Callithrix jacchus: one gene and its partner. The protein of the gene in region 2 purifies or fractionates together with the protein of the main gene of each other region. This does not show direct contact. Links are inferred from orthologs where the notes say so. Each region holds a gene or a part of one and is shown on either strand. Other genes may lie near its edges.

Region 1 (7,551 bases), on a different chromosome or scaffold from region 2:
TCCCACAGCCAGGAGGTCCATAGAACAGAACTCCCTTGGAGGGTGTCATGCCAAACTTGAGGAATTTGTCTGGGTGCTCCACAGGATACTAGGACAAAAAGGAAAGAGGGTTCAAGGCTACCACCATATTTTGAAAGAAACCTAACCAAACGGAAGCTTCATGGTGTACCCAATGGTATCAGATCCAGGTTCTCTAAAAGCAGACTCCTTAATGCCTCAAACCTAAGAACAGTAGGTTCCTAAGTTGTGCTCTTACAACTCTTGCAGCCAATGTGTTGATACCCTGAGACCACCCACATCACTAAGGCAGTGACTCACCCTGGACCAAGTTACCCTACCTGGACCAGCTCCTGAAGCTCACGTTTGACATCCTCTAGGCCGCCGATGTCTTCCCAGGTTACCTGTGGCACCTCTACCACAGTTTCCCGCAGTGCTGATGGGTTACTCTGGCTCAAAGCCCACTAGAAAAGAAGGGAAAACTGGATGAGACTTACCAGGGAAGGGTCAAAGCACATTAGGTGTGTACCTGAGGTAGGGGTGTGGTCCTTACCCGGAAGTCATCCATAGTAACTGCTAGAGAGTTCATGACCTCGGCATCAATGGTCTCATCCTCTAGGTCAATGAGATCCATCTTCTTGCGGATGGCTTGCAGAGCAGCCTCTGAGCACAGGGCTGCTAAGTCAGCACCCACATGCCCATGAGTCTCATTGGCTACCTGTAGAGAAAGACCTACTTACTATGCTGCCTCCAGCTCCCACAGGAGGCTAAGAAACAACAGAAATCCTTCCCCCGACTCCTATCCCTGGGTCCTCTCATTTCGTTGAATATGTACTAGCAATGTCTTTATTGGCTGGGTTTTAAGTACTCAATTCGGGACTTGAGGCCTAGAAATAAAGCTGCCCCAGAAATTCTGATTTACTCTAAATGCAGTGTTAACTGAGAAACAAGTCAACTCCAATTTCCTGGATTCAATCTCAGATCACTTCCTTTCCCCTGTCCAGAAATCAAAATCCATCTCCTCACATCTTAACCTTATGTTCCAAGCCAGTTCCCAGCAACTGCCTAGAAACAGAGATATTGTAATGCCCAGTCAGCCCTCATCATCACTTTACCTGTTCCAGGTCCACATCATCTGCCAGCTTCATGTTCTTGGTATGGATCTGAAGAATTTCCAAGCGTCCTGTAGCATCAGGAATTCCAATATCTACCTCCCGGTCAAAACGACCTGTGGGACAGTACATGAACACAGACAGGGCTCATTTCTAGTCCAGAGGGAAGAGACAGGCCTAGCAGGACCAACCATCTCAGTTAGCATAGGATTGTCCTGATGTTAGCAGTGAAAAAGTCTCAAACCCTGGGAAACCTTTCAGTTTCAGGAAAACCAAGTGGTTGGTCAGTCTAGACAGGATGCAGGATAAGGGAAAAAGACCCCTGGACCTAATCACTGCAAAGGGCTTCAAGAGGATTAAGTGACTTAGATGAAGGAGAGAGGTGAGATGTAAGCAAGGGCAGGGTTGGATATATCTGGAGTGCTTACCAAATCGCCGTAGAGCTGGGTCAATGCTGTTGGGTCTGTTGGTTGCTGCCATGACAATAACATGTGCTCTCTGCTTTAGGCCATCCATGAGGGTCAACAACTGTGATACAATACGCCGCTCCACCTCGCCATGTGTCTGCCAGAACAGGATGTCTGGTCATAAGTGAAGTTAGAGCCTTTCAACCCCCCACTATCCCTTCAGGTAAGCTCCTACTTTCTCTCTTTTGGGAGCGATGGCATCCAGCTCATCAATGAAAATGATGGCAGGAGCATTCTTCTCAGCCTCCTCAAAGGCTTTACGAAGGTTGCTCTCAGACTCACCAGCCAATTTGCTCATGATCTCAGGACCTGAAAGAATACAGAATGGAGGCAAAAACAAAATTATAGCCTTTCCTAATTACCCAAAAAACAGTTATCTTGCTTGTCTGGCTCAGAGACAGGTCCTGGTGAGAAGGTGGTGACCTTTGCCTACTTCTCAGATCCTCTACCAACCATTATCACAGGATAGCCACCAGTCCAGGCTAGAGAGAAGCCCAGGGACTCAGTATACTCTTCTCACAGTTGAACTAGAAGTATAAAGGTGACAGCAAATGCTCTGGGACCTATGGCTAGAGCAGGAGAGATGGCACACCAGCTAGATCTCTACCAGCTAACAGTATTCTCCAAGAGCCAGCAATCCAAGTTCATTTCCCCGAAAATCTCTCATATCAATAAGCATTCACCCATTAATTTCTCATTCTAGCTTGCTCCCACTCTTCGGTCTGTCCACAATCTTTCTCAAAGGGGACAGGACAGGGAGCACCAATGTAAAGTATCTTCCCTTTATTCTTCATCTGTCTGTAACATACCCCAGGAGAAGAAATATACTATAAAAGTGCAGGTGGGCATGAATGCAAAAGGGATCGGTCCATGAGCTCTCCAGCTCATGAGTCCCCATTCAAAATTGGGTCTAGCTAGACCTAAGATGAACCAAGTCTCTTACCATTGATCAAAAAGAAGAATGCTCCAGTCTCATTTGCTACAGCTCGAGCAATCAGGGTCTTCCCTGTCCCAGGAGGTCCATAAAGCAGGATTCCTCTAGGAGGCTGAGGACCAATGCAGAATGTGATTAGGTTCTCACCTTCTCCCAAACCCTAAAATGGATTGACTAGGGCTCCAGAGAGGGCGAGAATCAGTCTTCAACCCTGACAATATTAAGAATGAGCCCTCAGCAGTAAATGCTAGGAAGACAGCTTACTTTAGCCACACTAGCACAGAAAATACTGCTACAAAGTGAGCAACATTTATGATTGCAACTTGCATAGGAGACTAAGGGCAGAGAAACTCTAGTGAAAAATAAGTTTGAAGATACGTAACTAGGAAAAGGCAAAAGGACATTACACTAAGGGCTCAATTTCAGGCAGACCAAGGGCCAAAGACTAGCTAAGACATTTGAGAGAGCAGGGTCTATTTTCGTCATTGCCAGAGGATCACTTACTCCAGTAATCATACCTTCCAGAATTTATCACATTGGAATGATGTTCCTTACAATCACCAATCTTCTTCTTTGACACTACCCTTTCTATGGCCTTATTTACAAGCAGGACATTGAACATAGAAGATGAAATTATTTGTTTATTGACACATACTAAGGAAATGAGTAACTTCATTTTCAGTGTGTTCCACGATATAGAAAAGAATGGGAAACTACACTCTAGACCAATAGTTCTCAAATGTTTTAAACTCAGAACCCTTTAAGACTCTGAAAATTGCCGGGCGCGGTGGCTCACGCCTGTAATCCCAGCACTTTGGGAGGCCGAGGCGGGTGGATCACGAGGTCAAGAGATCGAGACCATCCTGGGTCAACATGGTGAAACCCCGTCTCTACTAAAAATACAAAAAATTAGCTGGGCATGGTGGCGTGTGCCTGTAATCCCAGCTACTCAGGAGGCTGAGGGAGGAGAATTGCCTGAACCCACGAGGCAGAGGTTGCGGTGAGCCAAGATCACGCCATTGCACTCCAGCCTGGGTAACAAGAGCGAAACTCCGTCTCAAAAAAAAAAAAGACTCTGAAAATTTCCTTAACTTGCTTACTTCTACCAGGTGACACTGCTCTAGATAGGCTGGCAAACTATGGTGAGATTTGATTTTACAGGGTCCACTGAGACAAGAATAGCTTTTACATTCTAAGAGCTGTAAAGAAAAAACCCATATATATGTGTGCATGTGTTTGTGCGCATATGCACACAACAGAGAATTTAATTAGCTTGCTCTGTTCTATACCATCAACTCTAATGAATTTAGAGCCTTCAGTGAATTAAAGGATTTATTACTGCCCCTCTAATCCAAGACAATAACAAAAGCCACGTATGAAAAAGTCCCAGGATCAGACATTGGGTAGTCATTAATCACCACTTTAAACTGGATCCCAGAGCCCAAAATGCTCACCTTCACACCAATTGCCTTAAAGAGGGCAGGATGTCTCAGGGGCAGTTCCACCATCTCCTTTATCTGAGCCAGCTGCTTCCTACAGCCACCAATATCATCATACCCTACTTCATTCAAGGACTCTTCCTCATCCTGAAAAAGAGATAAAGAAAGCAGAAGGCAAGAATATAATATCAGCAGAAGCTGAGTTTCTCTAAATCATTCCACTACCTAGTGTACAAAAACCTACCATATAAGAAGATTCTCAACCCAGCACGGTGGCTCACATGTGTAATCCCAGCACTTTGGGAGGCAGAGGTAGGACTGCTTGAGTCCAGGAGTTCTTGGGCAACATAGCGAGACCCTCATGTCATTAAAAATTAAATTAAATTGCCAGACGCTGTGTCTCATGCCTGTAATCCCATCACTTTGGGAGGTCAAGGCGGGTGGAACGAAGTCAAGAGATCGAGACCATCAAGATGGTGAAACCTCGTCTCTATTAAAAATGCAAAAATTAGCTGGGCATGGTGGCGCATGCCTGTAGTCCCAGCTATTCTGGAGGCTAAGGCAGGAGAATTGCTTGAACCCAGGAGGCGGAGGTTGCAGGAGCTGAGATCACGCCATTGCACTCCAGCCTGGGTAACAAGAGCGAAACTGTCTCAAAAAAAAAAAAAAATTAATTAAATTAAATTAAAAAGAGAAGATTCTCCTCTACAGGGATCCAGCCTCAAAGAACAGCTATAAAAATCCCAAGGCAAAGATTTCTAGCACAGTCCTTGCCTCTCACATTGCTCGTAGTCTTATTGAGAAGGGGGTCTCTAAAATCTGAGGCTGGAAACTCTGGGAATGGACAAAGGCCTTCAGCCACCATCAGCTATACTTCAAAATTGATTTCAATCACTTATATACTTTGGGTTCAGTCTAGATTTTTGAAATTCCTGGCATTAGGTATCTCCAAAAAACACCTAGACCCAGAAATGAATATCTGGCAGATTTCTCATCCCTGAAAGATGCTTAGTTCTCCAAAAAGCATCCAGTCTGTTTTTTTGTTTTTTTATTTTTGAGACGATCTCACTCTGTCACCAAGGCTGGAGTGCAGTAGCACAGTCTCAGCTCACTGCAACCTCTGCCTCCTGGATTCAAGCAATTCTCCTGCCTCAGCCTCTTGAGTAAGCTGGGATTACAGATGTGCGCCACTAGGCCCAGCTAATTTTTGTATTTTTAGTAGAGACAAGGTTTCACCATGTTGCCCAGGCTGGTCTCAAATGCCTGACCTCAAGTGATCTGTCCCCCGAGCCTCCCAAAGTACTGGGATTATAGGCGTAAGCCACTGCGGACAGCCGAGCACCCAGTCTTGACAGTTACCACATGATGCCACACTGAGTAATCACGAAATTGGATACTGTGATCAGGGAGAAAACTCACCTCTCGTTTGATAGGCTCCCCTTCGCAGTGGATCACTGTGTCTGGAGCAACAATGCAGTAAGGGCTAGGATCTGTTTCCACCACTTTGAACTCCACAGCACGCATCCCACCACGGACAAGAAAAATGTCTCCTGTGAGAGCAAGCAATACAAGCACAGTTAGAGGTGTCAGCTACAATACAAATTGAGAATTCATCAGACCCTGGGTCAAAATGCCAAGCTTATTAGGTATTGTCCTTCATTAGATATTACCCTCTCTCCAATGCCACCCCAACTGTCTTAATAAGTAGTAGGCAAAAGGAGAAAGGTAAACTGTGAAGAGTCCCTCTGCCACTCAGGAGGTTGGTGCAGAAAACCTGACATGCCAGAAGCCCATCAAGTTTTGACTTCTGCCATATAATTAGCCCAAGCTTTACTACAACCACCAATGCTAGAACTGTACACTTTGGACCCTGACATAGTCAAAATGGACCACCTTCTCCTTCAAAGATCCATAAGGATAGCTTACTCTCCTGGAACAGAGAAGGGGAGAGATGGAGGGAGAAAATGATGGAGGAAAAGAAGGGCAGAAGACATGAATCTGTATGCAGGATGCATGTGTGTATACAAATATATAAAAGTGAGACTAGGTATGATGGTTCATGCCTATAATCACAGCACTTTGGGAGGCCAAGGCAGGTGGATCACTTGAGCCCAGCAGTTTGAGACCAGCCTGGGCATCATAGTGAGACCCCATCTCTTTCTTTCTTTCTTTTTTTGAGACAGAGTCTCATTCTGTCACCCAGGCTGGAGTGCAGTGGCCTGATCTTTGCTCACTGCAACCTCCACTTCCTGGGTTCAAGCAATTCTCGTGCCTCAGCCTCCCAGATACCTGGGATTACAGGCACCCACAATGGGGTTTTGCCATGTTGGCCAGGCTGGTCTTGAACTCCTGGCCTCAGGTGATTCACCTGCCTCAGTCTCCCAAAGTGCTGGGATTGTAGGCGTGAGCCACGGCACTGGGCTGACCCCATCTCTTAAAAAATAAATAAATAAATACAAGGGAAAAGCATAAAAGATCAAAAAAAGAAGAAAAAGAAAATGAGATGAAGACATTCCAAGCTGAGTTTCTCTAAATCATTCCATGACCTAGTGTGCAAAAACTCAACAATCAACAATCCTTAAGCTCAGAATTAGCTCTCACCTTTCCGGATGGGTCGATAAGCTTCCAGGAAGTACGGCTTAAGGTATACCTCAAAGAGATTACCAGTAATGCCTTCCACCGTGTCATCAATAGGCAGCACATGGATACGTTTGCCATACTTCACATCAGGGCATGGCTGGATGCTGAGGATGACAAGCAGACTCCATATTACCAACCACACTTCGGGCCCAAGCACTGGGTGTCCAAAAGGGCCTGGCAGAGATAGCTGATAGTAAGTAAAAAAGAAAAGGCAGGGATGGCTTTAGGTGAAGAGCGGAAGGAGAACAGGGTGGAAGTGAGAGCAAAAGAACAGCCCCACTCACTCCTAATCAGTGAGCCAAAATCAAGAGCTACACATTTAGAAACCCCACAAAGATATGCTGAGTCTTCAGTGAGATATGCTAGGATAATCCCCTTAGCTAATATTGATGACCCAATATTACAAAAGAAGATCTTAAGCTAGTAATTGTCAGGGTCAGAGAAACAGAAGTGAAAAAAATAAAATTATCTCTGCCAGGTGGTCAGAACACCTTGAGAAAGTGACTAAGCACCATCAGGAAGAAAGTTACATGAAACTCAGACTCCATTAAAAAGTATCAGAAGCCTAAGATGATCCTGGCCAGGTGATGGTTGGCTGGATAGGAGTGGCAAGAGATGACTCCAAGTTGGGGTAACTTCTTGCCTAAAATTATGCAAGAATAAGCAAAATCACTCTCAATGGAGCTATCCTGGGTCTGACTTCAACTATCCCTTTCTCCCTAGTTAATTTAGGTGCTTAAAAGGTCTGCTACCAGCTCACCTTCCATGCCCATACCGCAACCTCATTCCAATCCGAAGCCATTAATTGGACATACTAGTGAGAGTAGTGAGGAGGTCATTTAGCAGATACATACCCTCAAGTGGCATCCTAAACCAAGCTTTAAGTATGATAAATTACATCTCTGGTAGGAAAAAATAGGGCATCAGGAAAGTTATAGGAATGCCAATTTGTCTCAAGGGAC
Region 2 (7,437 bases):
AAGTAGTTTCAATCCTGGCCCACAGCTCAGATGCCAACATGACAAACCAGCCAAAGCCTCCCTGGGGAGGTGGAAAGGTCAGGCTGCCTCGTGGTGAGAGGCAGGCTGGGCAGAGGCTGCTGGAGGTCGATGAAGAGAAGAGCCTGGGATCCCAGTGAGGCCCGAGCTTACCTTTCCTGGCAAGAGCTGCCGGCGGGTCTCGGGTACTCCCCTGCGGGCCGTGGGCTTCCTGCCCTCCTTTCTCTTTGGAGCTTCCTTCAGGTCAGCCCTTGCCTCTCTGCTTTATCAGCAGGGCGGGCTCAGCCCCTCCCCAGGGCGGGCTGGCGCTGGGTGCAGGAAGCACGCTGCCAGCCCGCAGAGGGCTCCAGGGGCCCCCACCTTTGTCCCCAGAGAGCACAGAAGAGCAGAGCTTAATGACTCAAAACCATGAAATCGTCCCCTGCCTCATTTGAGGGAAGCTCAGTTGAACTCAACAAGCCCCTCCCACCGTTTGCATTCAGGGCTAGGTCTGCCTTTGTGGGAAGCATCTCCCATCCCCAGCCTGTCATGAGGTGGGGACCTCAGGCTTTAAAACATCACTGGGCTGCCAGAGGGATAGCCCAGGAGCTGGCAGAGTGGATCCAGGTTATTTGGGACCCAAGTCTAATCGGCTCCAGCCTGGCTGTCCCTGTCAACCAAGGATCCCTCAAGGCCTACCCCAGAGGGAAACAAGTCCATTTTGCAGTTTTTCGTAGCTTCACATTGGGCTACTTCCAAACTCATGAACTCAGACCTGCCAGGTGACCACTCCATCGGAACAGAACTTGGCCCTGACCATCCACAACCTCCCGGGCCCTCAGGGCCCCCAGCTCCAAATGTAATACCTCCACTATGTCCCTCCTGGATGTGCCTGCCCCAGAACCCGGAGGCTCACTCCCATCACGTCCATGCTTAGGGGTCACCTTAGGGGTTTCTGGCAGTCTATCACCCTCCTGCCCATCACCTGCCCTAGGACATGGGCTCCAGTAGACCAAGATTATATCTGCCACCAGCTCTGCACCGGATGACGGCCTTTTCAGGGAATACACTGGGGGTTGCAGCACAGAGGGTGGACAGGCCTGGGGGCGGCAGAGTCCTGTCGAGGAGTGGGGACTGCCTGACTGTGGCCACCCAGATGGGGAAGGAGGCCTGCCGGGGATTCCCAGGGGAAAAGTCAGCTGACAGAACTAGCAGCAGAAGTCCAGCCACCTGCTAGTCTCAGCGGCTTCCTAGCCCAGAAAGCAGCACTCTTGGAGCAAATGAGGAAGTTTCACTCCTGCCCAAGAAGCCTGCCCAGTCCAGGAAGAGAGCTTTAGAAAACGCAGTTTGTTGCAACCATGGAAAAGTCTAATTAAAGCTTAGCACCCTAAGTTCTCAGGTGAGAGCCATGCATTCTTTTCTTTGAGACAGTTTCGCTCTGTTGTCCAGGCTTCGGCTCACCACAACCTCTGCCTCCCAGCTTCAAGTGATTCTCCTGCCTTAGCCTCCCAAGTAGCTGGGATTACAGGCATGTGCCACCACGCCCGGCTAATTTTATATTTTTAGTAGGGACATGGTTTCCCCATGATGGTCAGACTGGTCTTGAACTCCTGACCTCGGGTGACCCACCAAGCCGTGCGTTCTTTAAAACCATCACCCAGCAAGGCATGGTGGCTCATGCTCATAATCCCAGCATGAGGATTTGAGAGGTTGAGGCAGGTGGATCGCTTGAGGTCAGGAGTTTGAGACTAGCCTGGTCAATATGGTGAAACACTGTCTTACTAAAATAATTAGCTGGGTGTGGCAGCAGGTACCTGTAATCCCAGCTACTGGGGAGGCTGAGGCTGGACAATCGATTGAAACCAGGAAGTGGAGACTGCAGTGAGCTGAGAGTGCCACTGCACTCCAGCCTGAAACTCAGTCTCAAATAACAAAACCAAAGGCAAACCCAAAAAATAAATCCATGACCCAACTCCTACATCTAACAGCAGCTGACAGCAGAGGTGCCTCTCCCCAGAGGTCTCAGCATCTCACATTAGAACCCTGATTCTGGCCAGGCAAGGTGGCTTACACCTGTAATCCCAGTACTTTGGGAGGCTGAGACGACGGGTGGATCATGAGGTCTGGAGATCGAGACCACCCTGGCTAATACAGTGAAACCCCATCTCCACTAAAAATAAAAAAAATCAGCCGGGCTTAGTGGCATGCACCTATAGTCCTAGCTACTCAGGAGGCTGAAGCTAGAGAATCACCTGAACGCTGGAGGCAGAGGTTGCAGTGAGCAGGCATCTTGCCTCTGCACTCCAGCCAGGGCAACAGAGTAAGACTATGTCTCAAAAAAAAAAAAAAAAAAAAAAAAAAAGAACGCTGATTCCTGGGTTGGACCCACTGAGCTCTGGATGTAGCCAGTTTCTCTGAGATTGTAACGTGAATTCAAAGCACTAGAGTTATCCCAAAGCTTATCTGAACCTCTCATTGGTACCACTTGGGGTGGGGAAGCCTCCAGATTCCCTTCCAGCTGCTGAGCAACAGCGCCACCTGGCAACCCTCTCAGCAAAGCCAGGGAGCTCTGCCAAGCACCTGACTCCTACTAGGCCCCCCTCAGAGAGAACAAGCTCAGGTTCCAGGAGCAGCCTCTGCAAGACCAACTTTTGGTTAAAAAAAAAAATCACTCAAGGCCAAAGCAACATATAACCACGCCCAACTGGCTTGTTTTATTGGAGAAGGGGACGTGGAATAAACAACACGAGACAGCTGGGACCTGAGGCTGGGAAGAGCCCCCTTCCCTCCCCATACATGCCCACTGCCCCAAATAAAAAATAACCAACTATGGGAGAGCAGCTGAGACAGCGACTAGGGGCAGGGGAAGGAGACACGGAACTCGAGGGCAGCGGTGAAGAGACCATGCGTGTGCTGGGAAGGCCCAGAGGCAGCGGCGGCACGAACAGCGTCAATACAAGTCTCTGTGTCTTCCCGGGGTTATGTATAAATATAGAGATGAGGCCTTCTTTCCCCCTGCTCTCCCTTTTGCTCCGTGCTGCTCGCCGCGGTCCCAGCTCCTCTTTCCACATGAGGGTGAAGGGAAGGGGGGGATGAACAAGTCATCACCGAATTGCAATCAGACCCACATCCATCAGCTTCTGGATCTTCTGTGCTATTACAGGATTCTTTAAGTGTCTACGAAGGAAGAGGCAGTTATATGAAATGAGACAACCTTGCTCTCCGAGCAAGCTCCAATTCAACCCCCGTTCACAGAAGGCCCTGGCAGGGAGGAGTCCTGGCGAGGCTGGGCGCGCAGACTGCAAAGGCCTGCTCCACCTTGCAGAACTTGTCAGTCAGACTCCAAGCCCACACCACAGCTTCCAGCCAAGACCTTTCTCCCAGCTCAATTGGCTTTCCAAATGATTGCTTAAGCTATCACAACTAACAAACAAAGCCCTTCCAGCTCAACGCCCGCTGCCAATCTCCATAGGTTTGGGAGGAATGATACAATTCCTCTTCCTCAGAGACCGAGCACAACCCTCCCAGCTGCGTGCACTCTCATCTGCCTGCTTTTGTTCCCCATGTCCAGCAAGGCTGTCTCTCTGACTCTACGTACTCGCTGAGTGCCTGGGGGTCCTTCTGCATCTGTTCCAGGATAAGGCGCATGGCTGGGTCACTCATGATCTGCTGCACCTCGGGGTCGGCCATGGCTCGTCGCTTCACATCTTCGGGGCTATCATGCCGGTTGTACTGCGCCATCATACAGCGCTGGTAGCCGTCTGCCGCCTCCTGCAGTCCAGAGGAAACAAAGGGGAAGAGTGTGACCACCACCCGGCTCACTGCTTCAGCAGGCCCAAGATAATAGGTAACTGACAAGGGGGATAGACAGCAAGTAAGAGAGAAACCCAGAGAAATGGAGGCGACAGGAAAGATATCAGGGACTGAACACGGAAAAGACCCAACAGAGAAAGAGGCAGGAGTTGTCCCCGGGAGGCCAGAAGCAGCCCCACCTTACAGCTGGAGTCCAGGTCGAGCGCCTTCTGGTACACATCCATGGCTTTGGTGTAGTCCTTCATCGCTTCCAGGGCAGCAGCTTTCCGGGTATAACCCTTGACTACAAACAGGAGAGGTGGCACATTATCCACAAGTAGTGTCCAAGGCTGCTCTCTGTGCCTCTTCACCTGCTGTGACCAACACCGTTCACGCCTGCTGATGCTGGGTCCTAAATGCTACAGGTCCCAAGGACACACAGGTAGACAAAGGACTTGCCCTTTCCTTCTCTAATCTTTTGGCTAGAAACACGGGACAGGCAGCAAAAAGGCACTTACTGAAGGTCGGCTCCAGCTGGATACATTCCTCACAGTCCTAGGAAGAAGCGGCAGAAAGAAATTAGGCTCATTCCCTTGGACAAGCTCACTACAGGCAGCTCGAGCATGTGGACTTCCAACTCTTAAAGCCTGACCCAGCACCACACAGAGGTGACACATCAGGAAAGACAACTCCAGATGATGAACAACCCACACAAGACAAACGGCCCAGACTCTGTAAGAGGCTGATGTTGTGGAAATAAATGCAAGGGGGGAACAATTCCAGTTTGAGAAACTGATGAGTACGTGACAACTAGATGAAATGTATGGGCACTGGTCCTGAGAGCTTTTGAATCCAGAAGCACTGCTGGTTAAAAAACAAAACAGGCCAGGCGTGATGGCTCACGCCTGTAATCCCAGCACTTTGGGAGGCTGAGGTCAGGAGTTTGAGACCAGCCTGACCAACATGGAAAAACCCGTCTCAACCAAAAAGAAAAAAAAAAAAGGGCCGGGCACAGTGGCTTATGCCTGTAATCCCAGCACTTTGGGAGGCCAAGGCGGGTGGATCACGAGTTCAAGAGATTTGAGACTATCCTGGTCAACATGGTGAAACCCTGTCTCTACTAAAAATACAAAAATTAGCTGGGCATGGTGGCGCGCGCCTGTAGTCCCAGCTACTCAGGAGGCTGAGGCGGGAGAATTGCTTGAACCCAGGAGGCGGAGGTTGCGGTGAGCTGAGATCGCGCCATTGCATTCCAGCCTGGGTAACAAGAGCAAAACTATCTCAAAAACAAACAAACAAACAAACAAACATCTATATATATTTTAAAAATAGATAGATGGGGTTTCACCATAATGGCCAGGCTGGTCTCGAACTCCTGATCTTAGGTGATCCACCCACCTTGGCCTCCCAAAGTGCTGGGATCATAGGCATGAACCACAGCACCTGGCCTAAAATTATTTTTTTTTTAATTAGCTGGCCGTGGTGGCACGTGCCACCTAGCTATTAATAATCCTAGCTATTTGGGAGGTGGAAGCAGGAGAACTGCTTGAACCCAGGCAGTAAAGGTTTCAGTGAGTTGAGATCGTGCCATTGTACTCCAGCCTGGGCAGCAAGAATGAAATCCCGTTTAAAAGAAACAAACAAAAACAAAAAAGAAACAGAACAAGGCCAGGCGCAGTGGCTCACACCTGTAATTCCAACACTTTGGGAGGCTAAGGCGGGTGGATCACCTGAGGTCAGGAGTTCCACAGCAGCCTGGCCAACATGATGAAACCACGTCTCTACTTAAAAAATTTCTTTTTGCTGGGCTACTGGCTGCACCTACAATAATTCCAGCTACTCGGGAGGCTGAGACAGGAGAATCCCTTGAACCTGGGAGGCGGAGGTTGCAGTGAGCCAAGATCATGCCATCGCACTCCAGCCTGGGCGACCACAAACCAATTCCATTTCAAAAAAATAAGATTAAATTAACCCCAGAGTTTCAAAACATATTTTTGGACAAGTGGGAAAATCTTGAGTATGGATGGAGAGACAGCAGATGACATTAGGCCTTGGTACAGATGAGGTCACCTGTGCTGACAGTGCCGCATTGGACAGGGAGTCTTTTCAGGCAATGTGTGCATGAGACTTGGATGTTTCATTCTAAGTGCCAAATGTATACAGTTCTTTCACAAACGGTTCAGCAATAACGGGTCAATTTTTAATCATCAAAGGTGGAAGTTACACCAGGAATTCGCTATGTATTCTTCTTTTTCAAACATCTTCCAAGTAAGAAATTATGAAGAACATGATGCAGCACACTGAGCCTGCCTGGGCCTAATTCCAACCCTTCCACCAAGAAGTCAGCAGAGCGGCAGAAATCCCATTCATTCTTCTTCCACACTTTCACGACTGGGATAGTACTGCCCACCTCCCAGGTGACTGACAACCTGCTAGTCTTCGCATCACAAATTGATATGCTTTTGACATGACTCTTGGACAATTCTACTAGTGGAAATGCTGTCTCTAGGCCAAGACACAGACCCAGAAGACAGTGGCACAAAATATAAAACCAACACAAAGCCAGGTATGGCTGCTTCTAGACAGATCACACTTTGTCACCTTCCCATAGTACGGTCCAGATTTGTTAGAGAACATTCCAAAAAACTCTGATAGAGGCAGAGTGGCTGATATTCAAGAGAATGATGGGAACTCCACAGTATCAAACTTAATCGTATCTGACCAAACTTCATGTGACTGAGAACGGCAGACCTACCTACCCGAGCAAAACAGGACAAGAAAGCATAGTGCAGCTGCTGAAAAAACAACAGGGCAGTTCGTCAAAAATTAAACACAGGCCGGGCTCAGTGGCTCATGCCTATAATCCCAGGACTTTGAGTCCAAGGCAGGAGGATCTCTTGTGCCCAGGGGTTTGATACCAGCCTGGGAAAACATGTTGAAACCCTGCCTATAAAAATACAAAAATTAGCTGGGTACAATGTGCATGCCTGTAATCCCAGCCACTCAGGAGGCTGAGGTGGGAGGATGGCTTAAGCAAGGGAAGCGGACGTTACAGTGAGCTGAGATTGTGCCACTGCACTCCAGCCAGTCTGGGCAATAAAGCCAGACCTTGTCTCAAAAAAACAAAAACCTGGCTGGGTGCAGTTGCTCACACCTGTAATCCCAGCACTTTGGGAGGCCGAAGCAGGCAGATCACCTGAGGTCAGGAATCAAGACCAGCCTGGTGCAGTGGCTTATGCCTCTAATCCCAGCACTTTAGGAGGCTGAGGCAGGTGAATCTCAAGGTCAGAAGTTCGAGACCAGCCTGGCCAACATAATGAAACACCATCTCCACTAAAAATACAAAAAATTAGCTGGATGTGGTGGCACGCACCTGTAATCCCAGCTACTCAGGAGGCTGAGGCACGAGAATTGCTTGAACCCGGGAGGCGGAGGTTGCAGTGAGCCAAGATTACGCCATTGCACTCCAGCCCCAGCAACAATGAGAGACTCTGTCTCAAAAACAAACAAACAACAACAACAAAAAACAACCAAAAAGGCAAAAACAAATAAAAAAATGTGAGGAAGGATACGGAGGTGAAACAACCCATGTACTGCCAACCACTAATGACTCCATGGGCCAGGACCATTTAGATACATGTCCCATAT

Evidence for each region. The genes of interacting proteins can lie anywhere in the genome.
Region 1: the proteins of STIP1 (region 2) and VCP purify together in Homo sapiens (affinity purification with mass spectrometry; 4 studies listed by BioGRID, with this or other methods). This does not show direct contact. The link is inferred for Callithrix jacchus from reciprocal best matches to the Homo sapiens genes STIP1 and VCP.

Annotation. Positions count from the first base shown.
Region 1 is NC_133502.1:141,940,502-141,948,052, forward strand, and holds part of VCP (transitional endoplasmic reticulum ATPase), read right to left. Parts: intron 6,694-7,551; coding exon 6,551-6,693; intron 5,500-6,550; coding exon 5,369-5,499; intron 4,097-5,368; coding exon 3,965-4,096; intron 2,623-3,964; coding exon 2,520-2,622; intron 1,886-2,519; coding exon 1,752-1,885; intron 1,674-1,751; coding exon 1,538-1,673; intron 1,226-1,537; coding exon 1,113-1,225; intron 716-1,112; coding exon 551-715; intron 462-550; coding exon 339-461; intron 89-338; coding exon 1-88. UniProt on the Homo sapiens protein: Necessary for the fragmentation of Golgi stacks during mitosis and for their reassembly after mitosis. Involved in the formation of the transitional endoplasmic reticulum (tER).
Region 2 is NC_133511.1:121,254,299-121,261,735, reverse strand, and holds the end of STIP1 (stress-induced-phosphoprotein 1), read right to left. Parts: intron 4,345-7,437; coding exon 4,308-4,344; intron 4,094-4,307; coding exon 3,990-4,093; intron 3,769-3,989; coding exon 3,596-3,768; intron 3,175-3,595; coding exon 3,102-3,174; 3' UTR 2,683-3,101; downstream 1-2,682. UniProt on the Homo sapiens protein: Acts as a co-chaperone for HSP90AA1. Mediates the association of the molecular chaperones HSPA8/HSC70 and HSP90.